Linked DNA regions of Saccharomyces cerevisiae S288C. The gene in region 2 interacts genetically with the main gene of each other region. Each region holds a gene or a part of one and is shown on either strand. Other genes may lie near its edges.

The links.
Region 1: mutations in RVS167 (region 2) and BBC1 together harm fitness more than expected from each alone (negative genetic interaction), as found in Saccharomyces cerevisiae (6 studies listed by BioGRID, with this or other methods).
Region 3: mutations in RVS167 (region 2) and VPS21 together harm fitness more than expected from each alone (negative genetic interaction), as found in Saccharomyces cerevisiae (6 studies listed by BioGRID, with this or other methods).
Region 4: mutations in RVS167 (region 2) and CYK3 together harm fitness more than expected from each alone (negative genetic interaction), as found in Saccharomyces cerevisiae (5 studies listed by BioGRID, with this or other methods).

What each region holds. Positions count from the first base shown.
Region 1 is NC_001142.9:398,437-404,184, forward strand, and holds BBC1 (Bbc1p), read right to left. Parts: upstream 3,975-5,748; coding exon 501-3,974; downstream 1-500. Other genes in the region: MPS3 (Mps3p), read left to right, coding at 4,461-5,748. UniProt on the Saccharomyces cerevisiae protein: Involved in the regulation of actin cytoskeleton.
Region 2 is NC_001136.10:1,246,670-1,254,420, reverse strand, and holds RVS167 (amphiphysin), read right to left. Parts: upstream 4,236-7,751; coding exon 2,787-4,235; downstream 1-2,786. Other genes in the region: GTPase-activating protein SAC7, read right to left, coding at 1-1,884; CIN10 (Cin10p), read left to right, coding at 4,600-6,267; MUS81 (Mus81p), read right to left, coding at 6,439-7,751. UniProt on the Saccharomyces cerevisiae protein: Component of a cytoskeletal structure that is required for the formation of endocytic vesicles at the plasma membrane level.
Region 3 is NC_001147.6:487,597-494,531, forward strand, and holds VPS21 (Rab family GTPase VPS21), read right to left. Parts: upstream 3,233-6,935; coding exon 2,600-3,232; downstream 1-2,599. Other genes in the region: YVC1 (Yvc1p), read left to right, coding at 111-2,138; type 2C protein phosphatase PTC5, read right to left, coding at 3,527-5,245; translation machinery-associated protein TMA46, read left to right, coding at 5,837-6,874.
Region 4 is NC_001136.10:245,028-254,020, reverse strand, and holds CYK3 (Cyk3p), read right to left. Parts: upstream 5,441-8,993; coding exon 2,783-5,440; downstream 1-2,782. Other genes in the region: IWR1 (Iwr1p), read left to right, coding at 1-26; NUP84 (Nup84p), read right to left, coding at 275-2,455; HEM25 (Hem25p), read left to right, coding at 6,409-7,332; YFH1 (ferroxidase), read right to left, coding at 7,574-8,098; EXP1 (Exp1p), read left to right, coding at 8,439-8,888. UniProt on the Saccharomyces cerevisiae protein: Involved in cytokinesis by recruiting INN1 to the bud neck. Cooperates with INN1 to stimulate the synthesis of the primary septum (PS) by CHS2.

The DNA.
Region 1 (5,748 bases), on a different chromosome or scaffold from region 2:
CTTCATCTGCCATCGCCTTTCTATGTTTTCCGTATTTCTTCCCCGCAAGTTCTTTAAACTCAGATAGTATTAGAATCGATAATTAAGGCCAGGTCAAAGTTCGTATTAATTTCAACCTTTGGGCACCTATATTGGATTAATTTCCGTAAGATAATATATGAGAGCACTATCATGGAGTGATGAAGAAAAATTCAAACTCTAGGGGCAAACCGTTTGTTACGATTGCTCAAAAATTACTGCGTCTGAAGCCAGAATTGTAGGTATATACGAAAAGGTACAACTTGGGATACTATTGACGGCGGTAAGATAAGTGAATCCTACCTTTCGTTTTGAGCCGCTCAAATAAGACCTGATACAAAAACGGTTGTTTAATCTTTGTATAGTTTCTTCTGTAGAAGAGTTATGAAAATATACACTTAAACTATAACGATAAGAAAATGCGAAAGGAAAATGATGAAATCGAAAGCATTCACAATTTCCCCTTGGAAGCATTGGGTAAATTACCAACCTACGTATCCTCTCGCAACAATTCTGAAAACCTTTAACTTCCCACTTTTCATATGGCTTAGCTTGTAGCTGTTTTGAATAATCTTTCCCTCGTGATTTTCGATAACTCTAAACTTATTCTTTGTAAAATCATAATCAGTAACAACACTCGAATACGGAGCGGCGGAGTCCATTCCAACGTTGATAATTTCGTTTTTTCCGATCTTTTTATGAGCTTCAAATTTGGCCTTTCTAATTACAAGAATGTCACCTGGTTTAATCTTCTGTAAGCTCTTCATCAACTGTTCGATTCCTTCTTCAGGTTTATAACTCAATATAGTTGCGCCAAACGTTCTTGCTCCTATGGGTTGTATAACTTCGTCTTTGAATTCGGATACAATTTGTGACACGAAATTCTTAGCCCCAATATGTGAATTTATCAATGAATGAGATTTCTCTACAACTTTCGCATTAAACCTTTGAGCGTATTCATCAAGAATACGTGCTGATTGTGTTTCGACTGGCGATGGAAAGCGTTCTTGAAGAGTCGTTACCGTTTTCTCTGGGCTTGTACTATTAAAGGTCAAGGAGAATCTTAGTTGCGAATAGTTTTCAAACAAGAAGTAAAAATCCCTTACCACCCATTTTTGATGTAATCTTTTGGAAATGAAATGATCATCGATCTCCATCAAAAAGTTCAACTTCAGATTGCTTATAGCAGGAGGTGCGCTTTTATTAATCCACCATCTTTCTTGTGCATTAAACTCTATCTTGACGTTGTTGGAAATCTCGCCTACATCATGCGTCGTTGACCTTCTTATAGAGGCCACCTTCGGTGTAGTATCTGACTCATGGAATGAATCCACAGGACGATTCGTCAATGAAGGCACATGGGGCGGTAGGGTTCGTGATTCTTTTTCTGCCCCAGATAGTACTGAGGTTGGCACACGTTGTTGCGTACTCATCATTGAAGGTGTAGAGGCCGTGACATTTTGATGTGGTGGAGGAGAAGGAGCTGTATGTGAATGAGTGGCTGTTGGTTCAGAGTCAAATTCAAAAGTAGCCGGTGGTACTGGTGGTGCACGTGGAAGTGGCGGAGCAGTATTTGGCATAGGATGATATTCCTCGGATACAGGTGGAAGGGGAGCAGATGACTTGACATGTTCTTCTACTTCATTGTGTTTAGGCAGCGCAAGAGGCGCTGGAGGTGCTGGAGGTGCTGGAGGTGTTGGAGGTACTGGAGGTATTGAAGGTGCTGAGAGTGCTGGAGGTGCTGAAGATACTGGAGGTACTGGGGGTACTGGGGGTACTGAAGGTGCAGAGAGTGCTGGAGGTGCTGGAGGTACTGGAGGTGCAGAGGGTACTGAAGGTGCAGAGGGTACTGGAGGTGCAGAGGGTGCAGAAGGCACTGGGTGAGGTGGCACCTTGTCCTCAGGATGTGACACCTTACTTAGAACTGGAGCTGCTGGAGCTGCCATCGAAATATCTTGAGCGGTTTCTGTTAATGCAGATGAATTAGTGGAAACTGTATCATGATACTCGTTTATGGATTTCCGCCGATTTTCCCCTGAAATGGATTTAGTCAAAGAATTTATCGACCCGTTGCGAGCAACTCTTGTTTGTGGGGAAGAGACAGGCAAAACATTTCCAGTTGTGTTTTGTGATGAATTTTCAATATCATGTGATACTTCTGCAGTACGGTGGGAGATTGGTGGTTCTTGAGGGTAAATTTTTTCTCCGGAATTAACATTCTCTGACTCATTATTACCTATCTGAAAAGCTTGCTCCACCATCGAATGCTTTCTCAACCCATCGTTTGCATCCTCAAACTCGTGGTCGTCAGTATCTTCATCAGAATCATGGTCAGAGTATTCGGGATGTGCATTATCAACAGCAGCTAAATTGTGATAGGCGTGTGTACCATGTTCTTGCTTCTGTTCATGCTCTGTGGTTGCATGAGGATCTAGCGTCTTTGTTTCAGTGGGTTGATTCTTCTCACTTAGATTTGATTTCCTAAAAAATGGGTTAGAACTTGGGTCAACAAATGGCATAACAGGTATGGCACGAGGTAGTTCTTGGAGCTGTTCAGGTTCCTCCTCCTCCTTCTCCTTATGCTGTTTCTTTTTCGGCTCTTCTGATGGTTTATTTCCAACTCCAGAAGCCATACCGAAGGGGTTAAAACCAACAGGAGCACCGAATCTACTAGCGCCAGATAGTTTAGCCATTCTTTCTCTCAATGCGGCCCTACGATTCTCTTCACTATCTTCCTCTTCTTTTTCCTCATCATTATCTCCCTCTCTGTCTTCATGGCCGTAACCTATTTCGCTTTCCTCAGCAACATTTTCTCCTCTTGCCTCGTCTGCTTGTGACTCCTCAACTTTCTGATTTTCCTTTGTGTACTCATCTAAAAATTGTTCTTTCTCTATGTCATTCGTGCCTTCATCTGCTTCGCGTGAGGTTTTAGTAATCTCTTTATGTGCCAATAATTCCATTTGCGGTTCCTCGTTGTGCTCAGTTTCAGGCGTAAATTCAGGTTTCGGTTCAGTTTTTTCATTTTCTTCTGCTTCTTCAGTTTCCGTATAGGGCTCATTCTTGTTAACCGCACTACGTTCATGTTCTTGTTCGAGCTTAGCCTTTTTTCTCAAGAGTTCTTCTTCTCTTGCAGCCTGTAATCTTTGTTGCTCCTGTAAAAGAGCAATTCTTTCTTTAAGGCTCATCTGGGGCAAATCCTTCTTTAATTGGTCATTCTCAGTTTCTATTCTTCCACTTTCCACCTGTGCACGATTAATTGGTTCGGGAACAATCTTTTTTTCGTTTTCCTTTAGGGACTTTTTCCTTTCAAGATTGGACGTATCATTTGTTGGAATTCCAGGGGGGACATAGTATTTAGGAGCATCTGCCACAATTGTTTTTTTCACAGGTATGTTTTCTAAATCCAAGTGAGTTGATTTTGGTAAAGGAACTTGCTCCGTTATATCTTGATTAAACATAGATAAGCGAGCCTTCAATTTTGGAGAATCCATGGGAACTTTTCTTTCGCCATTACCACTACTACTATCATGCTGGACCTGTGCTGATACTGCTGTAGCGGCTGGAACTGGCACTGTAGCGGCTGGAACTGGCACTGTAGCGGCTGGAACTGGCACTGGCCCGGACAGAGTTTCTTTCTTCGTTTCAGGGGAAATGGGCTCTGGTAGGTCCTTTTGTTCTACTTCCGGCTGGATTGTACGTTGCTCAGTGGAACCGGTATTCGGAGATGATTCGGCTTCCTTTCCAACTTCAGATCCCTGAACAGCAACAAAACTTTTCGGGAAGATACCCTCAATAACGTCGCCATTTGAATCCTGGTATTCACCAAAGTACCATTCGGCGTCTTCAACAGACGTAACAATAATCTCTTGATCTTTTTCAAAATTTAAATCGTCCTCGTAATCGGACTTGTATGGGAACTGAGCCACCACCTTGAAGGGCACTTCGGGTTCACTCATCCTTAGTTTGGGTAAGACTGTGTTTACTTCTAGTAGCTCTTGCAGTTGGGACGCGATTGATGTTTACTACCGACTTGACGCTACTGTTTCACAGTGTGCTAGTAAATACCACTTCTAGTTGAAGTCTTAAGGAGATTATAATTCTGGAGGTAAAATAGGGGCATTGTAGACCTCTAACTATTTTCAGGGTATATTCCTATATTATATAGGTTTATTCTTAAAATATGAGGTTTATAAATGATACACATCACTTATTGATAGGGTTATACTCTTTGATACGGGTAACATATGAGACGCGAAAATGGAATATAATGACAATGTAAATATCGTCATCTTGAGATAATTATCAACAAGGTTGTCATGAGGAGTTACAGATAAAAGTCAACAGAGTGGAGTTAGTGGTGTTTTAACTGTAGTGCTCCATAGTTTCACGGCGGTTTCTCTTGTTTTCAGTTGGTAGTAACTTTTATCCTGGAAGTGCTGGAAATGAATAACTCAAATGAGCATAGGCGGGAAGAGGCAGGAGCGGCTAATGAACAAATGCCTTACAATAAGGCTGTAAAGTCCGCGTATGCAGATGTCCTCAAGGACAAAATGAATAGGGAACAGGAGATTAGCCTACGAGCCATCAAAAAAGGGATATACACCGATGGCGGTGAAACTGACAACTATGATATGGATAAAGAGAATGATTCCGCGTACGAAATGTTCAAAAAAAATCTTGATTTTCCGTTAGACCAACATAATGATGACGACGATGATGATCCGTACATTGAGGATAATGGACAAGAGACCGACGGATATAGCGACGAGGACTATACAGATGAGGCAGACAAGAGTTTTATAGAAGACAGCGATTCCGACAGCTACGATTTGGAAAGTAATTCTGACTTTGAAGAGAACTTGGAAAGTTCAGGTGAAGCTAAGAAGTTGAAGTGGCGGACGTACATTTTCTATGGAGGCCTTTTCTTCGTTTTTTATTTTTTTGGATCTTTTTTGATGACAACCGTGAAAAATAATGATTTAGAAAGCCATTCATCCGGCGCTACATCCTCTCCAGGCAAATCATTCAGCAACCTACAAAAACAGGTGAATCATTTATATAGTGAGTTGAGTAAGCGGGACGAAAAGCACAGTTCAGAATTGGATAAAACAGTAAAAATCATTGTCTCTCAATTTGAAAAGAATATTAAAAGACTTTTACCCTCAAATTTGGTTAATTTTGAAAATGACATTAACTCGCTGACAAAACAGGTTGAGACAATTTCAACTTCCATGAGTGAGTTACAGAGGCGAAATCACAAATTTACGGTCGAGAATGTTACTCAATGGCAAGATCAACTGGTAAAACAGTTGGATACACACCTCCCTCAAGAAATACCCGTTGTAATTAATAATTCTTCGTCGCTTTTAATAATCCCTGAATTGCACAATTATTTGAGTGCTTTGATTTCAGACGTTATTGAGTCTCCAGGCATTGGTACTGCTGGAAGCGCTGAAAGTCGTTGGGAGTATGATTTGAATCGCTATGTAAAGGAAATTCTTTCGAATGAGTTGCAATATATCGATAAGGATTATTTCATCCAAGAAATGAACAGAAGGTTGCAATCTAACAAACAGGAGATTTGGGAAGAGATCACAAATAGGTTAGAGACACAGCAGCAGCAGCAGCAGCAGCAGGTTCAACAGGATTATTCTAACGTGCCACAGCAGTATTCGAGCATATTAATGAAAAGATTAATTCACCAAATTTACAATTCCAATCAACACCAAT
Region 2 (7,751 bases):
ATCCCCATCATCTTCGGTTAATGGTAAAGCATTACTGCGCTCATTATTGCTATGAGTGTTACTTAGTAATTCTAATTGATCAGCGGAATTATCATTACCACTGGTCAGGATCATTGAAATAGGTCTAGTGTTAAAGGACGAATTGGTACTGTTTCCACTCAACGATCTGTTCATTCGAGGAATTGGCAGATAATGCTGTTTGGGCAAAGAACCTGAGTGTACGCTAGATGGAGACTGACCGTATGGATCAACATTTTCTTCTTCATAATCATCACCTTCAGCTTCAGTAGCAGTTAAGTCGCCATTGTCTCCTGTGTCACTCAAAATTCCCGGTTTATGTAACCACGGGAATAAACTCGTTCTTCTTTTATTACTAGCAATAACATCCGGAGGAACCGGAGTAGAACCAAACGATTTTGAGTGTGGTCTTCTTTGCTTCGGAGGCTTTAACATTTTTGAAGTCTGTAGGTCTGATGAGTTCTCCGGTATCGAAGTAGATATTGGCGATAACGTCGTATGGTCTAGTTTATTGTTATTGTCAATCGCCGGTGGGTTTTTATTGGAAGAAACTATTGGTGGCGAATCCGATGAGGTGATCTTTGGTATTTCTATAGGATCAGTTTTCTGTTTATCTCCATTATTTTTCTTATTTTCGGTTGACAACCGTTCCTGTTGTTCCCTTTTAGCCAACTTCAAAAGATGGGGTAATAGCTTGTACGAGTATTCAATCAAAAATTCCACTACTAGTCGGGATAACTCGTATTCTTTGGGGTCCATATCATGTTGAGGATGCGATAATATTGAAGGTTGGAAGATGGCCGCCAAGTTTCTACCAGACATTAGGTTAAACTGTGATTGCCTTGCAAAAAGACTCAGTAAATCGAGTAGGTATATAGTTAGCTGTTTCGTGTCATTTGATAAGGTAACAAAGAGCTCTTCATATTCCTTGATAGCTGCCCTTATATCGCGGGTCAGCCTTCTCTTATGACGTATTTTTCTTCGTCTTTTTTCTTCATCATCTTTAGCGTCCTCCTTTTCGATGTCACCATCATTAGCACCATCATCATTATAGTTCTGTCTACTTGATTTTACTGTTACATTATTTGTTTTATTCGCATTCGGATGAGAAACTTCGTGGGTCAACATATGCCTTAGGATTCTTGGTCTAGATCGTAGCGGGTTTCTGAATTGTTCATATAGGGATAAAGGTATTAGTGGTTCGGCCAAATTATTAAGGTATCTCCTCAGGAGCGATGCAACATCGTGCACTGTATATGTTTCCCAATCGTTGAATTTGGTACCATAATCAGGTGGCGACGAGAATATGTATTGAAGGGCTTTTACTCTTTTACCATTGCCCGCTATACGAAATATACCCGAGGTCTCCAATCCATTTGCTTTTAAGTATGCGCCGCACTTGGCTACCACGATGGGTATCCGACCAAAACTCACCAACTCACTTTGAACAATGACCTCTGCACTGGCGACGCTCAACGATTCTGCTAAAGTAACACCGAAAACCCTACCTGTGAAACCATTTCTATTAGATAAAAACATATCTCTGTAATTTTTGAACTCTGCGTGAGGCGATGTTCCGGAATTAGCGTTGTTATTGTTATTGTTCTGTTTCGCGGATTTGGAAAAGGATTTCCTATCTTTGGTTGGGGTATTATATGAATATGGTCTTGAAGATAATGGAGGCCGTTTTAAAGTAGTTGGTTGAGCATTCCTTGAAAGAGAAGTTGGTGATCTAGGGACTGTAATATTTTCGGATGACATACTCTTAGGGTTGTTTATGAACTGCTTCCAAAAACTTGGGACATGACCTTTAGAGGGAGAAACATTTTCAATTTTGGAGCCTTGTTTAAGAGTATTATTTGGCATTATAAAGATATTTTTAGTTTATCTTAGTGGTATTGAGAGGATGAAAGTAAGACCAAAGCAGGAATCAAATTGGAAGCTCGAAAGCAAACTTGTGAAGGCTAATTTCTCTGCCCCTCTACTTTAGAAAAAAATTGCTGTGAAATGAGAACGGCTTTTTGAACACTGCAATATAACTTTCTGGAGAAAATTTGTTCTGATAACTTTGTGATGCGTGAAAGCTTAAGAGATCAAAAATATGTGGAGTTTTCAAGTCACTAGTGAATAAAACCAGTGGAATGGGTAAAAAAATTTTTTGTAACGGGCCTGCTATTCTAGGAAACCTAACGAAGACTTTATCAATTTGTTTTTCCTCTTCTGAGATCGTCCGATCAAGCCTAACAGTTTCGCGAGTAAAAAGGATGATTTCTTCTAAATTTAGTATTAAAGTAATGAATGCGTACACCCTGCTTGAAGATGTTGTGCAATGTAGCTCAGTTTCTTCCGCGCCAGGCCACTAGTCTTGCTTTTTTCCTGTTTGTCAGCACCGGTTTCCCAACTGGGCTGTGTCATCGACAAGACAGAGATGGTGTTTTATAAAAGAGAAAGGAGACTGAGGAACGTCGTTTTAGGAAGACTAGGCGAGGTGAGCGAGAAAACTGATTTCCCCATATGGTAGGCTTTGTACCATATTGGGAAGGTGGCAGCCCTATTGGGAACGCGCTCCTTCCCTTTTGGGATATTGTCAGTAGGGTAATATGCTCGCCGCATGCCCGTAATAGATAGACTCAAACGATACTTTGTTGGTGGAAGGATGAATTACCCTATATAGTATTTAAATTAAGAAACATTACAATAAAAGAAAAAGGTAATGGTAACATCTCACAATAGAAGGTAATGAATACAGAGGGATGCAGGGGCCTCCTCTAGTTCTTGTTGAGTTGCACGTAGTTCCCAGGAAACACACCTTGCTGGCCATTGTATCTTCCTGTCCACCATTCGTTCACGTCCGGAGTACGCTGGACAATTTCTATAACTGCGCCGGCAGGGAAAGACAAATCACCAGCAGCTTGAGCTTGGTAGTCATACAATGCGGTAACAGTTTCAACGCCAGGAGCTGCCGCTACGGCCGCGGCTGGTGTGCCCGCAACAGGTGATGTTAGAGGATTAGAGTAGGCCGGTGGTGGTCCCTGTTGCTGCTGTGGTGATTGTTGGAAGCCTAGCCCAGTGAGCGGTGGAGATTGCGCAGCAGCATACTGTGGATAAGTACCCGGAACAGCGCCAGCAGCAGCACCAGCAGCAGTACCAACAGCAGCAGCAGTACCAACGGCGGCAGCAGTACCATACTGGGCAGCAGGTTGAGCGGCGTAACTTGGTGCTGCGGCACCATAACCGTATCCTGTAGGGGTTGGAGAAGTGGCAGTTGCTGGATCATACCCAGCACCATATCCGACACCGCTTGATGCGCCACTGACGGGTGAGCCTTCGGCGGTTGCTACACCATACTTCCTTCTGGTCATCTCCAATTTTGCCTTAGAGTAACCGAGTTTAAAGTGTGTAATAGTCAAGGCGTCCGTTTGTTCTTCCACATTGCCTTTCTTGGCAATGTACGACTCTACAATGTCACTGTTCAAATCAAAATATGGAATCTTCATGTCTTGAAGTCTATTATACAAAGTGTAAAAAATGTTCAATTGCATGAAATAAAATGAGACAAATAATGGTTTCACAAATTCAGCTTCCAAACTGAACAGTATTGGTAATTGAGTCTTTAGCAAGTCGTTATAGTAATCATATTCTTGTTGAGCCACTTCCACTTGAGCTTGTGCTTTATACAATCTTTCTTCGTCTTTGGCGGTTGGTTCCTTCTTCTTTTCATGCTTGTTATAAGTGTTTAGATGTCTATCTAAATCTAATTTTTTGTGATTTCTCTTGGTGGCCATTTTACGAATATAAGTAATAATCTTCAACAGTTCCTGGCATGGCGTAACAATTTTTTCTTCCACCAAAGCCAGATCCGGTTTCAATGTTTCCTGTAATTCTGCGACAATTGCCCTATACTGTTCACTTGCTTCAATACCTTGTGGGTTGTCCTCTGGTATGGTAGCGTTAGGGTCACTCATTTTACCACTGATAGGTTTGAAAATTTCCTCCATGGATTTGGCAAATCCAATTTGGTGTGTCAGCATTCCATTCACCGCAGTCGAGTATCTCTTCGATTCCTCACTTAATTTTTTTGTCTCCTGCTCCAATTCTTGAAAACGACGTTCTGCATCCTCGTAAACAGGATCCTCTGTCTGCTCACCCATCTTGAACTTTTGACGGAAGGACTGAGGAGCCCTACTAACAGCCTTGGTAAACCCTTTAAAACTCATGTGCACTTATTGGCTCCTTGATTCTTGGTGTTAAATGACCAGGTGAGCCTCACTTTACTTTATTCCTTAAAACAGGTTGTTAAACATCGACACTACAAAGCCCTCTCCTTTTTTTTTTCCGGTACCAATATTATCGCAACATCCGAACATCGGTCGGATTGATAATTTAGTCAGGTAGACTACCATAGCAACTGGAAGGTATACATAACAAAATTTCCATACGAAAGGAACTTCTTGAACTATATACAACCTTATATGTGCAACTGTAGCGTGCACTTATAGTCCATGGTCAAAAAGTATCTTTTCTCAGTAGAAAACAAAAGCGTACAGGCAAGCGACAGGAAAGTCAAAACTTGATAGAGGTATGTCTACAGATGAAAGTGAAGACGTTTATTCTGATCTGTATTCCATTATCTCCCAGGTAACATCCAATACTGCCAATGACATCGAGCAACTCCCATATGCTTTAACGTTCAAAACGTCGTTAATCTTCGTTGGTGCTACCATTGGTGGGCTTTTATTCGGCTATGATACTGGTGTTATATCAGGTGTTCTGCTTTCTTTAAAGCCCGAAGATCTATCTTTGGTAGTTTTAACGGATGTTCAGAAGGAGCTGATAACTTCCAGTACAAGCGTCGGATCATTTTTTGGCTCTATTCTGGCATTTCCTTTAGCAGATAGGTATGGAAGAAGAATTACTCTCGCAATCTGCTGTTCAATTTTTATCCTAGCTGCAATTGGAATGGCTATAGCAAGAACATTGACGTTTTTGATTTGTGGGAGATTGCTGGTTGGGATCGCTGTTGGAGTGTCTGCCCAGTGCGTCCCTCTATTTCTGAGTGAAATTTCACCTTCCAGAATCAGGGGTTTTATGTTGACATTGAACATTATTGCCATCACTGGAGGTCAATTGGTTTCCTATGTGATTGCGTCCCTTATGAAAGAGATTGATAATTCATGGAGATATTTGTTCGCACTTTCTGCTATTCCAGCTATTCTGTTCCTTTCAATACTGGATTTTATCCCTGAATCGCCACGATGGTCCATTTCCAAGGGAGACATTCTATATACCAGGGATTCTCTAAGAATGCTATATCCTACTGCATCTACATATCATGTGAATAGTAAAATTAAGCAGCTGATAATTGAACTCGATAAGTTACGACTATACGAAGATGCAAGTGAACCTTTACTAGTACAGTCCCAATCGGTTATTCGATACATGGATAGTTCAACCTCAGGAACTCTTAGCCCACCTAACATTAAAAGACTTTCCTCGAACACAGAAAGAACTAGCAACACAATGTCCTCCTCATCAGCATATCTATCGGCGTTGCGAGGCCCAGCTCCAAACGGTGCCCTGGCATCTAACAAAAAGAAAAGACACAGAATGGAGCCACGCACAATAAGAGCGTTAATAGTAGGTTGCATGTTAATGTTTTTCCAGCAAATCACTGGCTTTAATGCTTTTATGTACTATGCGGCAATAATATTTTCCAAATTTAATATAAAAAACCCTCTACTGCCTCCAATTTTGATTGCCTCAACGAACTTCATATTCACTTTTTTCGCCATGTACACCATGGACTCTTTGGGAAGAAGAGCCATTCTTTTGAGAACAATTTTGATTATGACTGTTGGGTTACTTCTTTGCAGTGTAGGTTTCGGTCATGACCAAGTCAATTTACTTTTAATTTCTGTTGTAATTTATGTTGCAGCATATGCTTCTGCGATGGGCAGCGTTCCATGGACCTGTGTGGAATTTCTCCCCTTGAACAGGAGATCATTTGGGGCATCATGTATAGCCTGCACAAATTGGTTGACCAATGCATTTGTTTCAATGACATATCTGAGCACTATTAACACCATTGGTGATGAAAATACAATGCTCATTTTTGCTTTTTTCACAGTTTGTGCCTGGTTTTTCGTATATTTTTGGTATCCAGAAGTCAAAGGTTTGTCACTGGAAGAGGTTGGAAGGGTTTTTGATAATGGAATTGATGTTCATTATGTCTTTCGTACCTACCATTGATGAGTTGTCAAGTGGCATCATAATGCATTGGGGCGGCTTTCAGATATGCTTCTGGTATATTTGTCCGTGAGAAATTAAGGCTTCTTTTCTTATATATGTATATATTAGTTAAAAGAATATCATCACTTTTTTCTTTATAAAACCTTGCAGGGATGACTATATTTCAAATTGCTAAAGTTTACCAAAAGCATCATATATCTTTTCTGAAAGAGATTTAGTAATTTTCTTCGCACCAGGTGCATCTCCCAGTACATTAAACATCAACAATTTAGCCTCTTCTTCCGAGGAGCACGTTTTATATGCCATTAGTATTTTATTCAGGGTAGGAAATATTTCTTGGATGGCTACTGCTTTTTCTAAAGATATACCTTTAACAAGCATTAAAACATGTATAGTTAGCTCACCAACCGTCTTTAGATCGCCTTTTCCCATTAGTTCTTGAAAGCATTCAAGATTATGACAGCATTCAATACCGCCTTTTCGTTCGAATTCTCGACGAAACTGTAGAAGCACCTTTTTATAATCGTCCTTGCTTTTAAGGTCACTTGGAAATATAACTATGAGATCTTTTTGAGAATAGTGATGAGAAATTACAGTATGCAACGCATGTATCTTTTCCACAGTTTCATCCGAATTGCAAGTTCTTATCATGGAGAATTTGTAATACACTAAAATGACCCAAAGCGCGGTCTTTAGGGCCTCATTCATATTTCCAATGTTGCCACTCATAGTCTCCTCAATGAGATAGTATTTGTGTTCACAGCCAGATTTCTCTAACCTATTTTTTTGCTCCATAAACCTGTTATCCCTTATACTTAAAGCTAAATCGTCTAGCCTTTTTCTTTCAACTATGGTGTTGAGCACACACTGCAACCCGGTATTTTTATTCTTGGCAACCCATATAATATCACCCAAAGCGAGTTGCCTTATCTCTGACTTCATACCTTTTCTTTCAAATGCCCTTGAAAAAAACTCACGATCAGATTGTGACTTTATTTCTCTGTGATCAATAATTGGGAAAACTTCGAAATCACCACTACACCACAATTCGTAACTTACTCCGTTGTACCTTCTCCTCTTTATTGTGCTTTTAGCCTTTAATGCGGAATCAGGTACTGTTTGATCATCAGAGACCTCTTCCAATTTATGAGAAGATATATTAGTTTGGCTATTCAGTCTATCATTTTTAAATACATTGTTCTGCAGCCTTTGCGGCGTGCTCAAATCTTGAAAAGTTATATCCAGCATGAATGAAGTGTTATTTATATCGCAGGGCTCTTCTTCCTTACCATATTCACCACGGAGGTCAGTCAGATTTGCTGTGAATTCACTACTTTCATTCCTGGTTACGGAATACTCGTTAGGTTCTTCATTTTCTTTTGGAAAAGAGATTCCGTCTGCCGTCTTTAAGCTCTTTGTTAGTTCTACACCTTCCTCTGTTAGCGAATACCGTTTTGGTCTACCTTCCTCAAGAACCAACGAAT
Region 3 (6,935 bases), on a different chromosome or scaffold from region 2:
ATCCTTCGAGGATCAGCTAGAGCCTATTCAATGCAATTGTCATTAATCAGTGGCTTGGTAAGGCAATAGAATTCAGTTATAAAATATAATATTACTAGAACAGGAGCATTATGGTATCAGCCAACGGCGACTTGCACTTGCCAATTTCTAACGAACAGTGCATGCCGGAAAACAATGGATCTCTTGGATTTGAGGCCCCCACTCCGAGACAGATTCTCAGGGTTACGTTAAATTTGAAATACTTAATTGATAAGGTCGTACCTATTGTTTACGATCCCAATGATATTGTTTGTGACCATTCTGAGATTTTATCTCCAAAAGTTGTGAAGCTGGCTTATGAAGCATGTGGCGGGAACCCTAAAGACAAGGCCAACAAAAGAAAATATCAATCTGTCATTATTTTTTCACTTCTTAAAGTTTGTGAGTGGTATTCCATATTGGCCACTATGGAAGTGCACAATGCCAAACTTTACGAAACCAGAAATTTAGCCTCACAACAGTTATGTAAATTGTTAATTGAAAGGGAGGAGACAAGAGACCTGCAGTTTCTTTTCATGCAGTTACTGCTGCGTCGGTACGTAATCAACGAGAACGATGAAGATCAAGAACCGTTGAATGCCTTGGAACTTGCCACAGATATGCACTGTACTACAGTGATAGGATCGAGTGGATTTCAGCGTTGTTTAAAATGGATATGGAGAGGATGGATAGTCCAAAATGGCTTGGATCCCACAACTTTTATCAAGGACGATTCACTGGCGGAAGTGTCATTGATCTCTCATTTCAACCCCGTAAGATTAAAGGCGCCTGTATACCAAAATTATTTGCAGATGATCTTCTCATTTTTGTTTCTAGGGCTTTATACCTTGGTGGTTAATGGTAAGGACTCTGAGAGAGTCCAATCTTTCGATTTGTTAGAAAGCATATTTTATGTTTTCAATACTGGTTTCATCTTGGATGAGCTCACTAAGCTTTATTATATTGGTTATGCGCACCTATCGTTTTGGAATTTATTTAATGATACCACATATTTGATAATCACGTTTGCTATGGGGTTCCGTGCAATGAGCGTAACGCCCCTTAATGCAAAATACTCTTCAGAAGATTGGGATAAAATATCATATAGAGTCTTATCCTGTGCAGCACCATTTGTGTGGTCGAGACTCCTACTATACCTTGAATCACAAAGGTTTATTGGGATTATGTTGGTTATCCTAAAACATATGATGAAAGAATCCATTGTATTTTTCTTCCTTCTATTCTTAATAATGATAGGATTCACTCAAGGTTTCTTAGGTTTGGATTCCGCAGATGGTAAGAGAGATATCACCGGACCCATCCTGGGTAATTTAACAATCACCGTTTTGGGTCTTGGTAGTTTTGATGTTTTCGAAGAATTCGCTCCCCCATATGCGGCAATACTGTATTATGGTTACTATTTTATTGTTTCGGTTATCCTTTTGAATATATTAATTGCTTTGTATTCGACTGCGTACCAAAAAGTTATTGACAATGCAGATGACGAGTACATGGCTTTGATGTCACAAAAGACGTTGAGATACATTAGAGCACCTGATGAAGATGTCTATGTTTCTCCATTGAACTTAATTGAAGTGTTCATGACACCTATCTTTCGTATTCTTCCACCGAAGCGTGCTAAAGATTTGAGCTATACTGTAATGACAATAGTGTACAGCCCATTTTTGTTGCTTATTTCTGTTAAAGAAACTCGGGAGGCTAGAAGGATAAAATATAACAGGATGAAAAGGTTAAACGATGATGCCAATGAATATGATACTCCATGGGATTTGACAGATGGCTACTTGGATGATGATGACGGTTTGTTTTCTGATAACCGAAATTCTGGCATGAGAGCCACCCAGTTAAAGAATTCCCGTTCGCTAAAACTGCAAAGAACAGCAGAGCAGGAAGATGTCCATTTTAAAGTCCCTAAGAAGTGGTATAAAAACGTTAAAAAATGCAGTCCCTCCTTCGAACAGTATGATAACGATGACACTGAAGATGATGCTGGTGAAGATAAAGATGAAGTCAAAGAGCTCACTAAGAAAGTGGAAAACTTGACAGCTGTAATTACCGATCTACTCGAAAAATTAGACATAAAGGATAAGAAAGAGTAAACGACATGTGTTCAAATACTGCTTAATTAATTTCTCAGAAATCCATATATATATATATATATTGCTCCTCATTGCAACTTTGTAAATTTAATGTTCCTTTAATTTATCATTATTTACAATATTAACTAATCCATCTCCCGATTTTCGGCATAAAATAAGTTTATATTTTGGTCTACATGAAAACAAAAGTTTAACTAAACTAACGTGTACAAACCACTTTGAAACGTATATAAAGGTCTAATAAAAACGACTGGCGTTTTGAAAGATAATATAATGATCTAATGCAGTTAAAAAATTTACAAATTATAAGAAGAAAAGAAAAACAACGATTACGGTAAAAAATGAAAACTCCCTCTCCTTTCTAGGTACGATAAATTATGACTTTCATCTTTCCCGTTTTGAAGATCTATTTATCTCAATTTGCCCAGACTTTTTTTTTATATATATTTATTTTCCCCTCTCTAACAACTGCAAGCACTGTTTGCGCTGGTCCCATCATTAGCAGCGTTCAAATCCACTCTTTGATTGTTCGACTCACGTTCGTTACTTGCACTATTTTGCTCTTCAGCCGTCTTCAGTGGTATCTTTTCACCGATTCCCAAAAATACATCGTTAACATTCTCTCCTGTCTTTGCACTTGTTTCAAAGAACAACAAGCCCTTTTCTTCCGCTAGCTTTTCACCTTCTTCCCTTGCGACTTTTCTTTCCCCACCTTCTTGCAGCATATCGATCTTGTTACCAACTAACGCAATGATGATATCCTTTGATGCCTGTTCATGTAATTCCTTAACCCAGTGGCGCGCTTTAATAAAGGATTGTGGTTTTGTAACGTCGTATACTACAAGAGCAGCTTGTGCGTTTCTATAGTACATAGGTGCTAAAGATGCAAATCTCTCTTGCCCAGCAGTGTCCCATATTTCAAACTTAACAGTATGTTCATTTATAGTAACTCTTTGAGTGAGGAATGCTGCACCAATGGTGGGCTCCTTATTTTCGGCAAAATCATTAGATACAAACCTTAGGACTATTGACGATTTACCAACTGCTGCCTCACCCAACAGTACCAACTTTATGGAAGTGACTGATGTGTTCATTTTTTTGTGTGATAAAAGGGATATTTTTTTATAGCTTAGATAAGTCGACGATCTTGCTTTTTATTTTTAAAATCGTTGCCACTTTTATAAGATAAGCTGCTCGTATTTTCACCTCACTTCTCTTTCTTTGTCTTTTCGGGGATATTGTTTTAGCAAAAAGCCCCATAATGCAAACCGAGAAAACCAAAAAAAAAAAAAACACGTATGAGGTGACAAGAAACTAGATAATCAGCAGACTAATATCTATAAAATAAATCCTCTGGTATATACCTACCTCAGCATAAGTTTATATCGTCATAATCTAGGTTTTGGCTTTGTTGTTGCCTCCGGGTTCATAACTATTGAAGTAGCATTGGAGACAATTGAGGGTGTTCCAGAATCACCAAAGAACGCCACTGTTACTGTCAAGTCATCTCTGTATCTTCTACTCATCGGCGATGGTATACTTACCAATGCCGATACATATTCTTTTCTTCCGCCCGCACTTAATGCATTTCTAATTAAATGAGTGGCGACGTTTTTGTCTTCAATAAGATACTCTGGGTTTGATCCTGATGGTGAGCTCGAATTATTATCCTTGTACCTGAATGCCGGTCTTTGTGCTTCCTTGTCTTCAGATACATCGATAACTTTTGGTAATTTCCCCGGTTCTGCCTTCACAGGTGCCAGATTCATATTTTTATCCATCCACCTGATAACCAAGGAAGCAATTTCTTCATTAGTTAGTAATTCGAATAAACCATCCGAACCCATCACCATAAATTTAGTGTTCTCACCAATTTTGGCAGAAGTAATCACTGGTTCCGCAGTGACATATGGGGGTGTCTTGAAATCCCTTGGCTCTCTTCTAAAATAAAGTTTGGCAACTTCAGGCAAATCCGATAATGGTTTTCCATCGACTTCTTTGATCTTGTAGCGATAGTCTCCAAATGCCCTGGATGGTTGTAATGAACCCAATATTCTTCCGTTTCTTATAACGTTTGGTTCTCCTGGATGTTCTTTCCTAATTCTCCGTACTTCATCCAAATTATCACCGGTCTGGTCGGTGGATAGCGACTTTACCGTCCAATTGCCCTCGTTGTCCAAACCACAAATTAAAGCCCTTGAGTCTCCAGTGACAGCCACTTTCAAAATTGAGTTAGTGGAGTTGTATAAACTTAATAGTGCACAAGAACCAGAAATCGCTGGTAAAGTGTTTGCAATATTTGTGTTGTTTGGATCTTGAAACAGCTTCCTGAACGATTCGATTACAAGATCATTATCTAGTTTCAAAAAACCTTTCGAAATTGCAGAATCGATTAATTGGTTGGGGTCGGAATGGAAAACCGTTTTGTTCTGGTCATATACCTGACCTAATTGATACGCTACATAACGGACTAGATCTTTAGATAATTTTTCCGAAGTGAAAGGACCACCATGTCCATCAAAAATTCCAAAAAAATACAAATCCTTCTCTATGGACTTGCCATCCTCACTTTCTATCGGAATGGTAATGATTTGTTCTACGTGATCGTCTTCTATTGGATGGTTAGAGGGCAACTGTGCCACATCATACCTGAATATACCAGTGCCACGGTTAACAAAATGGCTTTCCTCTCTATCATGTAGTTTAGCCTCTATTTTAGAATCGTTCAAGATAAGAACAGATTGGTCATTCTGAGACCGTTGACTCTTTTGTGTCTCTGTTCCTTTTGGATTAGGTGACGGCATGTTAATGTTACCACTAGTATTTGTAGAATAATCTTTTATTCCGTTAATTGTATCAAGGGAGAGGATCTTTTTAGGGGAATAGTAGGAGTAGGTCAACAGTAGGGACCCGCTTAGTAGAGCAATGTTTAGAGCTTTAGAATGTGATGATATGAATAGCTTTGTCCTTGAATAGTATGTGCTGTTGGCATGTGATGTTGAATATGCACGTTGGAGAAACTTCTGTGTGTATTCTCTACCAGATTGACATTTAGATAGAACCTTAACCGTTTTCTTTATAGCTACGGTTCTAGTTAAGGGAGACATGGAGAGATTGAGAGAAGTAAAAGCACTTCTTCTGTTGAAAAATTTCAGTAGAGCACAAATTCAATTAAAGTAGCAATAGATGTTTCTTTTCCTGCCTATCACACGATTTCGTTTACCCTCCAATCGATCCTTTTTTTCTTTTTTGTATCTTGTGTAGAAAGAAGTGAATCCTGTTTTTCTACATAATGAAGGGCCGGTAACTGCTCATTACTGAGTTTTAAAGTAGAAAATAAAAATGTATGCAATTGGTCGCCAATACCTGATAACTAAGAATGTAACTATGCAAGGGATAAGGAAATTTAGTCAATGCTGCCCATCACACCCTGAACAGCACAAGATTGCAACCTCTGAGAGTATTTCTTAAGTTGGAGACTAGTGGAGGAAATGAATTGGCACGTAGCTCGTCGAACATGATGAACTGTGATGATAATGAAAAAATTTTTGTTCCCCAGCGATGAGTTAGTGAAAATCGACAATATATCTTTTTTTAATCAATGTGTTTTACTATTTCTAGAAAGCAAGGGAAGCCACTCTATTAGTAAACCTCTGGGCTTTACACATATAAAATCGCAGGAAAGTTATATTTCGAAGATGCCACCAAAAAAGGGAAAACAGGCCCAAGCGGCTGGTAAGAAGAAGGATAATGTCGACAAGACGTTCGGTATGAAGAACAAGAACCGTTCTACCAAAGTCCAAAAATACATCAAACAAGTGCAATCACAATCCGACCCCAAGAAAGAAGAGATGAGGTTAAAGAAACTCGAAGAAAAAAAGCGCAGAGAAGCCGAAGAAGCTGAACGAAGAGCACTATTCAACCCTGTAGCAGACCAAAGGGTTCGTGCGGGTGTAGATCCCAAGTCCATGGTTTGTGCTCTGTTCAAACTGGGGAATTGTAACAAAGGTGCCAAATGTAAGTTCTCACATGACTTGAACGTCGGTAGAAGAATGGAAAAGAAAGATTTATACCAAGATACAAGAAGTGAAAAGGAAAATGACACAATGGACAACTGGGATGAAGAAAAGCTGAGAAAAGTTATCCTGTCGAAGCACGGTAACCCAAAGACCACCACCGACAAAGTATGCAAATACTTCATCGAGGCCGTGGAAAACGGTAAATACGGTTGGTTTTGGATTTGTCCTAACGGAGGTGACAAATGTATGTACAGACACTCCCTACCAGAGGGCTTTGTGCTGAAAACCAACGAGCAAAAGAGGCTCGAGAGGGAGTCGCTCGAGAAACAGCCAAAAATTACGCTGGAGGAGTTTATCGAAACAGAAAGAGGGAAACTAGACAAATCCAAGCTAACACCAATAACAATTGCCAACTTCGCCCAATGGAAGAAGGACCACGTCATCGCAAAGATTAACGCTGAAAAGAAGTTATCTAGTAAGAGGAAACCTACTGGTAGAGAAATCATTCTTAAGATGAGCGCCGAAAACAAGTCATTTGAGACGGACAACGCCGACATGCCAGACGACGTCACCCAGGGATCCGCATGGGATCTTACTGAATTCACAGATGCCTTGAAGAAGGCTGACCACCAAGACGACGGCGGCATCAAGGACTACGGTGACGGTAGCAACCCCACCTTCGACATCAAAAAAGCCAACTCCGCCACGCTCGCATAGTCTAAAATTCATATAGACTAAACTGTATATATGCCACCGTATATATAATACACGCACACAC
Region 4 (8,993 bases), 1.0 Mb from region 2:
TACAGAAAAAAATTAATAGAAGCTAAATTTGCCGTCAGAAACTGTTCAATGTATGTAAGTAACTGCATCTGTAATTTTATCTTTAGATAGTAGAAAATTCATGTTTAACCGCTTTTTCACTTCATGAACTTTTTTTTCTCCGGTGTGGAAACACAAAGATTCAAAGCAAAACTATAAAAAATCACGTCAATTACTTCTGAAATAGATAGAAGAAATGCATAAAATTATTGCTGTTTACTTAAAATATAAACTTATTCTGCAATACATTAATTGATCAGTTCGAAAGGGTTGCTGTGCGAGCAACGAGATCCAGATACTCTTTTAACTTTCCACTAGATTGGAATAATAAATAAATCTTGTCGTTCTCATTAGCGACCAATGAGGTAAATGCCAGGGCTTCCGAAATAAATTTTGGGATCTTTAACAACTTTGCGGCTTCCACTAACTTTTTATGCAATTCCATCAGTAGAAATGGAGTATATAGGGCTCTAATCTCATACAGGATTTCATAATCTGCCGAATCCGCGAAATTAGAGGAAGTTAAATCTACTAAAAATGTCTTGATCAATTCAAATGTATCCTTTGAAAAACCTTGCAATTTCTCTATTAAAGTAGGAATGTTCGATTCAGAGCTTAACAAGCTAACGGATTTTTGCCATTCTTCATATTCTCTTATGCCCTTTATCAAATGCTCATATTGAGTTATTTCTTCCAAAAACTGATCTTCATTTTCATCCTTTGATATGTTATCGGCTATTTTCTCTAATTCATAATTCTTGCATATTTCTCCAATATTATTTCTCTCCATAAATTGTTCGAGAGCCTTTACGCGGCCATTTAACAAAAATCTCCTCGATAAGGCAATGATAGAGTGGACAGCGTCCACATAAAGCTTCCCTTCAATAAGCCATTCCACGCCATATATTAAGTGCATATCAATGTTGTTTACATCGAAAGATATGGAAATTTCGTTAGATGGTGAATATTCTTGTTCGGTTTCATCGAAAACACGCTGTGTGGTTCTTCTCAAAATATTTGAGGCAGGTAATCTTAGAAAGTTTATTGTCTCAATTTGCTTTTTCCTTACTTGGGGGTCCTCTAAAGAAGACAATATGAAAGAGCATGCCTCTAAGCAGTCTGACTCATTCAGGAAAGTAGCATATATTGGAATATTTTCATAAAGGCCTTGCAATTTCAGAAGACTGATATACGTAGTAATGAGCTTGGACTTATCAACCTCTTCAACAGAACCTGGATTAATTATATCAAGGCAAATGGCTAAATGTGTAACTATCCTCAGAAGATAAGGCTTATCTATAATATCGTTACTAGCTTCGGTTCCCTTGACGACATCAAGCAACATTTCCACGGATGAATGAATAACTGATGGCAAAGAATCTAGTATGACAGATGCCATTAAAACTCTGATTGGATGTTCACTTTCTGAGGGATGCCTTGAAGCCACTCTATTAAGCACCTCTTGTACAGTTAGCGCGTGTGAAGGTAATGGTAAAATCAGTTCATCAGTACCTACTTGATTGTTTTCCAAAAGATAATTTTCAATTTCAGTTTGTAAAATTTGATTTAAGTGTATGTGCAGATCAGACTCCCAATCCGAATATTGCAGAACTTCTTGGTTGGGAATAGCGCCACTCAAATAGCTGTATATCGCCCTTTCATAAGGGTCCAAACCGGCCTGCTGCGAAAGGCTGTAAACTGTTCTTCTCCACAAAGAGTGCTTCTTGATACCTTGCTGGGTATTGAATTCGTTTGCAATTTGCGTATCAATGACAGGGTTTAAGTACTCTTGTATCCCACACAGGATCATACAAATTGAAATATTGTCGGAAAGTTTAGCTTCTTCTAATGCTTCATCAATCGCACCGGCCAAAATTAGTTCGTAAATGTATTTGAAGAAAATATGATCTTCTTCTTTATCTTTAACATCGAGGACATTAGTGTTTTCTCGTAAAGGAAAATCCAAGTCACAGCTTTTCAATCCTCCAGAAGTAATACTATTTAACCATTTTGAAGTTGGTACATTTTTGGGTCTTTCCATCACATATGTATTTTCTTTGAGCCAAACCATCACTATCCATATTTGATAAAGTTGTTTGTTGTCTTGCATTAATTTCTTTTCAAATAAACCCCTCGAGTTATAAGGATGAAGTTCCATTTCATCTAGATCAAGATCAGCGTTCCTGAAAACCAGTAACAGTTCTACTAAATGCCAAAATCTAGCTTCCAGTTCCCAATCCTTAGAAGATATGACGTTACTTTCATCTCCAGAATTAGCCAAATCTAACGCAAGCTGCCCCGCGGCTGAGCGAAACTCTCTTATGATGTTAAACGGGTCAATGGGGTTTTGCTCATTATTTTGTTCAATTTTGAATTCCTTTAAAGTGTCTGAGAACTTTGTGAAGCGTTCTGTTTGATAAGTAGGGGATAATTCCATTTGAAATGGCTATGTATTTTACTTCGAAGTAGCACTCAATTGGTTTTCAGGTTGAATTAGCTGATATACCTCGTTTTCGGACTTGCCTAAACAATTCAAATGTCGTATGTATTTGAGCATTTGGTCTAATTTTTCATATTTTCTTCACCGAAAACATCACTAAATACGAAAAAGTTGGACCAGCATAGCTTTTATGAATGCAATGGATAAATCATTAAATAATAAGTACTATATAGCCATATATGAGTTATGAAATTCACCTTCCTGAGTAGAATGTATGTTGAATGATACAGATTATAGCGCTGTAAAAAAATTTGTGAAAAACGTTTATACGCACAACCATTCAGCAAAAACGGACCACCCAATACCAGAGTCAGCGATCACTAAAGCGCTCCAGACGCCGGGCTCTTTGATTTTAATGCTTCCTTTCCAGGTACCATAAGGAAAGTGGGGATCGCTCTTGACTAGCTCATGAACTCTTCCTGAGGGTGATTTTATTGCCATTGGTTGTTTCCTATTTTGGTTCGGCCCTTCATCACTGCTGTATACAATACCATCGGAGGGACTTTGAATAACTTCGAATGAGTACTCATTACCAACAAATAGATATCTACTCTGTGGCTCGACAATGTATAGCTCAATCTTCTGAATGCTTTCTGAGGGTATCTTGATCACAAATTCGTATTTCATGTTACTTCCCTTATGTGTTAATGGGACCATCATGGACAGTGGATGGATATTGGCAATACTCGTTTGCGTACCTCTTACACCTGAATGTATGTACAGTGAACCTTTGTTCACATTGGGTGGTAGGACTGCTTTGATTAGAGCAATTCTTCTACCAGACTCGGCTTTCTGCTTTTTGATTTGGGTCAGTGCGAGTTCCATATTCCTGTACGCAGATGAAGCTTCTTCATTATCCGTTGGAATAACCACGGATGCAAAGACTTCAACGTCATTGGGAATTTCTAAGGAGCATTCGTAGATCTCAGAATCTTCCAAAAATGATAGTGCAGTACTAAATTTGTATAACTTTAACTCATTTTTGAAAAAAGATGGAAAAACTAATGGCAGATACAATGCAGATAATTGATCGATACTAGGAACAATATGCTGCTCAAATTCCCTAGGCGGTATATGTGTGTATATCATTTCTAATGGTGCCATCAAAAAGTAGCTATTTTCTGCTTTCTTGATCTTTCTGTTATTTACAAATTCATGAATTGGGTTGGTTACATTTCCTAAAATAACGTCAATAAATCTCCATTCTTTGTTAACCAGTATTCTCAACCAGCAGTGGTTATACTTAAACTCCCAATTTATAGCACTCGGTGTTTTCAGGAAACCTATAACAATTTCACAAGTGATTCCCAATGAGTTTGCTAATTTCTTGAAAAGCCATGTCAATTCATATGGCGTACAATGCTTTCTGTATAGTATTTTCTCTAAATTTTGGGGTTCCGCAGAAAAATCTGACGTTCCATTATCATCAGTCAGAGCAAACATCTCTGTGCAAAAAATGTATATGCCTCTTAACTTTTCCAGAACAGTTGAGTATCTTGCTGAAAAAGTTGTTTGAGCCCAACTGTCTAATGTCATAGTTCCGTCTCTAATACACCGTTTCCAAGTCATCTTATCAATGTATTCTATGTTTAATTCGGCCAGTTCCACATCGACCAAACCGGGCTTTGTATTACCTTTGACTTCATTGGTATTTAGCCCGTTATAAATCGAATCTTGAGGATGTAAGATCAAGTCGCGATTTTCTTCGAGAGCTCTCATATACCTCGGATGTTTGTCATATTTGGTAAGAGTCCTTGCTCTGTTCAAGTGACATTTTACCGCAATCCAATCGCGAGCTTCATCGGGTGTTGCAGACAAGTTTAAATTCTGAATATCTGGTAGTTTAGGATATGCTTTTGGTGACTTTGGTGAGGATACTGAACTGGAGTAAATATTTGTATTCCTCTTTGGAATAATTATTTTCCTAAGGATATCACCCATTTTTCCATTTCTCGAACTAGCATTGGAATCACCAAACTCCTGTGAATCATTTATCTTTGTAGAGCAGCCATTTGCATTCTGTGATCTTTGCAATGAATCGGAAAACGATTGTGCATATTTATGTCTGGCGAAACTTCCCGCGCTCGTGGCACTAAAATCACTCATTAAGGCAAAACTGTTCTCACTACTACAAGCAGAATCATTTAAGTACTGAGAGTTTGAAAACAGGCCTGATGAAATAGAGTCCTCTTCTAAAGAATATCTCTTTTCTGGGATAAACCCATCATAGAATTTCTGGTTGTCTTTGTAATAGTTATATTCTCTTGAAGAACGTGCCATATGTAAATCGTTTGCAGAATATGATTTCTTTGGTGCCCTTTTATCTGTCTTTCTCATATTGTCCAAATCTGGTAGTGGCGGTAGAGGTGGTAACGGATTGTTCATGGACTCCTCGAAATTTCGTACTTGAGGCTTACTATGGCTAGCCAAAGGTAAATTTGGAGCTGAGTTATTATGATGTCGAGAGGATTGGGTATTATAGATATTTTTTTCATTTACCATTTCTTTTGATTTTGCCTTTCTAGCCTTTGTCAAAGAATCTACCGGCTTCTTGGGTGAATTGGGCATTGATGAAGATAGCTTCTTTTTAGGCCTTGGCCTCTCGTCAGAATACCTTGATGGTACTGGTGGAATAACAACTTTATTTGATTTTTCAAAACTTTCTACTATTTTTGAAGGTTGCCTACCATTTTCAGTGCTCGAATTTAATCTCTCCTCTAATAGTATGACGAAGTTATGAGGAAAATACCCAGAACATTTTTTGTTTCTCAATAACTTGCCGTAGAACCAAGAACCGGCAATCCTTGTGACTTCCATAATATCTCCCTCCAGAAAGCCTAAGTCGCCTTTAGTTTGGCCCGACCAACCATACCTGGCCTTCACCTTAAATGGTGGCTTCAAAGATGTTAAGTTAGTGGCCATTATGCAAATTTAAATGTAATACGGTAAATTCAGGAATTAAATGTTATAATTATAACTTCGGGACTGACCTTTAATGTTTCGAACTAAAATTATATGCGGTAATTAATACGGATAAAAAGATATTATTAAAAAAAGTGGTAAAAGCAATGTATGCTTATAGCAAACAGTTAATGTGTTAAAATATTAAGGACGAAGTGAAATCAGAAGAAAGAAAAATTAGTTTAACAGCAGTAGATCAAACTGATATTATAGATATGTTATGCAAACAGAGTCCCGTTAATTTTGGCCTTTTCTCTTGTTTTAACTGTATAATATCCAATTGTAGAGAGTAAATGAAACTAAATTCTCCTTTTTCAATACTTATTTTAAATAGTTGGTCCAAGCATGCAAGATATCAAGCTTGATCTCACCATCCTTTTCAGATCAGCTCAATGGCCACCAAACCAGCCATTCGAGAATTTTTCACTTCTATCGCGCCCTGACAGGCACCACCATTAATACATATTTAGAAAAAGAAAACCCTGCAATATTCAACTAGTTACGAAATTCACCAGTCTCAAGAACAAGAGGGTACGCTGAATGGATACAAACACTAAAGGATGGTGTTTCATCAGCGAGACAATGATTTTGTAATTTCTTGCTTTTTGGGTTTTGCTGAATCTCCAACGCTTGTGGTGACTGTTTCCTTTTGAATATCTATCAGTATCTTAAATGTTAAATATGTGTCTGCGTTATTGACCTATTTCTCTTGCTATATTTAGAAGTTGTGTTTGTTTCAAATGACTTAGATTTGAGTGAACGCAAAATTGAGCTTGAAAATCTCCAAGTCAACGGTGTAGTAGTATATTGCTTCCACATTAAATTCTCACGAGGGGGTGATTGAAGTAAAAGGATAAGCTTATACCAAAAGAAAAGCAAATAGCACAGCGGGAACAACTAGAAGGTACACAATTTGTGAAGCAGCATACATGACTGAGCAAGCAACTAAGCCAAGAAATTCATCGCATTTGATCGGGGGCTTTTTCGGTGGGCTAACATCTGCTGTTGCGTTGCAACCTTTAGACCTTTTGAAGACGAGAATCCAGCAAGACAAGAAAGCTACATTATGGAAAAATTTGAAAGAGATAGACAGCCCTCTACAGCTATGGAGAGGTACATTACCTTCAGCATTACGAACATCAATAGGCAGCGCCTTATATTTATCATGTTTGAACCTTATGCGCTCATCTTTGGCAAAGAGGAGGAATGCTGTGCCTTCATTAACAAACGATTCAAACATTGTATATAACAAGAGCAGTAGCTTACCACGATTAACGATGTATGAAAATTTACTAACAGGTGCATTTGCAAGAGGTTTGGTAGGTTATATAACCATGCCTATCACCGTCATTAAAGTCCGTTATGAGTCTACTCTGTACAATTACTCCAGTTTAAAGGAGGCAATTACCCATATATATACTAAGGAAGGACTTTTTGGATTTTTCAGAGGGTTTGGAGCTACTTGTTTAAGAGACGCTCCCTATGCAGGTTTGTATGTGCTGCTATATGAAAAATCGAAACAATTACTGCCCATGGTATTACCTTCTAGGTTTATACATTACAATCCTGAGGGAGGATTTACTACTTATACCTCTACAACAGTAAATACAACAAGCGCCGTACTATCCGCCAGTTTAGCCACCACAGTAACGGCACCGTTCGACACCATAAAAACGAGAATGCAATTGGAACCATCAAAATTTACCAACTCCTTCAATACATTTACATCTATAGTTAAAAATGAAAATGTGCTGAAGTTATTTAGCGGGTTAAGCATGAGGCTGGCAAGAAAGGCCTTCAGTGCAGGTATTGCGTGGGGTATATATGAGGAGTTGGTCAAAAGATTCATGTAAAAAATAGACACATATTTCATTGCAATCTCGCATTCTTCAAAAAAGGTATAAATACGTGTCTTTTTAGTTTCTTTATAGAGTGACGTTGAAGCTTAGTAGTACGTTCATACATACATACATACACACACGGTACAAAAGAAAAATCATATCAATAACAAGGAAGAGAGACTCTAACTATGAAATAGATTGGATGCGTTACAAGTGTTTAAATAAATATAAGAGAGTCGATGGATAAGTGCACTTATTGGCTTTTAGAAATGGCCTTCTCAACTTCTTCAGTAAGTATATCTGTTAGCTTTGTGCCATTTCTTAACGAAACCCACTCCCCATTGAGAAGGTCAAATCTGTTAGGCCCGGACAATGGTGATGCCAACCAAATTTGCTTATTTGGAGGCTGTTTGTTTATTACATACGTTCCAAAAGCTGGAATTTCCAATGTCATTACGCCATGGCTTAGCTCTACATCAGGTATACAATCCGGATGAGCCTCACTCAGTTCTTCTAAGCTATCTAGTAAATGGTCTAGGTAGTCATCTGCCTCTTCATGGTATTTTTCAAGCGGTAAGTTTAACACTTCTTGAGGCACAACTTGACCATCTGTCGAGGATTCTACAAATCTCTTCTGAAAAGTATTTACAGTATGATTCTTTTTATTTGTTACAGCTGGACAAAATCTGGCACGTTCTCCTCCTGCCGCTGCTATCATATATCTTCTGCCCATTACAGAGCTGACTCGAACTAAACTTGCGAGAGACCGCTTAATCATTGCTACACTCTATCTTCTCGCTTAGTTTTTTTTGAAATACTATCTTTCTGGTATTCAGTAGTACGTAACGATTTGTAAGTGTCTTCAAGCGAGGTTGCTTTCAATTAAAAATGCGATTCAAAGAGATCATTTACGGTTACTAATCCCTCATATCCTATAGGGCTATGTGGACATTGTAAGAAACGTGACTTTTCAAATATGATCACTGAATACGGTTTTTTGAAATTTGTCAAGTGCGATGAGTTGTATCTCTAAATCAAGCACCCATGATCTACGTTTAGTAAAAGAAAAGGACGAATTCCCTTAAAGTTCTCGGTGCCTAAGTCAATAAGTCCGGAGCATGAATCTATACGGTTATTTTTTACTTCTCATTATTGTGATTGCTTTCATTGCATTGTTGCCATTGTTTTCTGGCATCGGTACATTCAAACTAACAAAACCGAAATCGTCTGCAACAGCACAGTCAGCGACTGGTAAGCTTGGTAAGAGGGAATATTTGAAAAAAAAACTTGATCATACCAATGTATTAAAGTTTGATCTGAAGGACACGGAGGAAAGCCTTGGCCATGACAGTGCAAGTGCCTCTTCCGCTTCCAGAAAATTTGAAATAGACTCAAAGACAGGCCTTAAAAGACGTGTAATTGGACAGTACAACAAAGATCCAAATGATTTCGATTTCGATATTGATGACCTAATTAACGAAGATGAACTAGATGAACGGAGAGAAGAAGAGAAAAAGTTGAAGAAGTACAATGGTAAGAAAAATGAAGCTTACGAAGGATTTGTATAATAATGGAAGTGATTTTTGCAATTGTCCTACAAAAACTTTAGACATTCGTAACTAGCTAAACAATTGATTTAACGAATAACGTAGACTTTTAATTATTCAATTTAA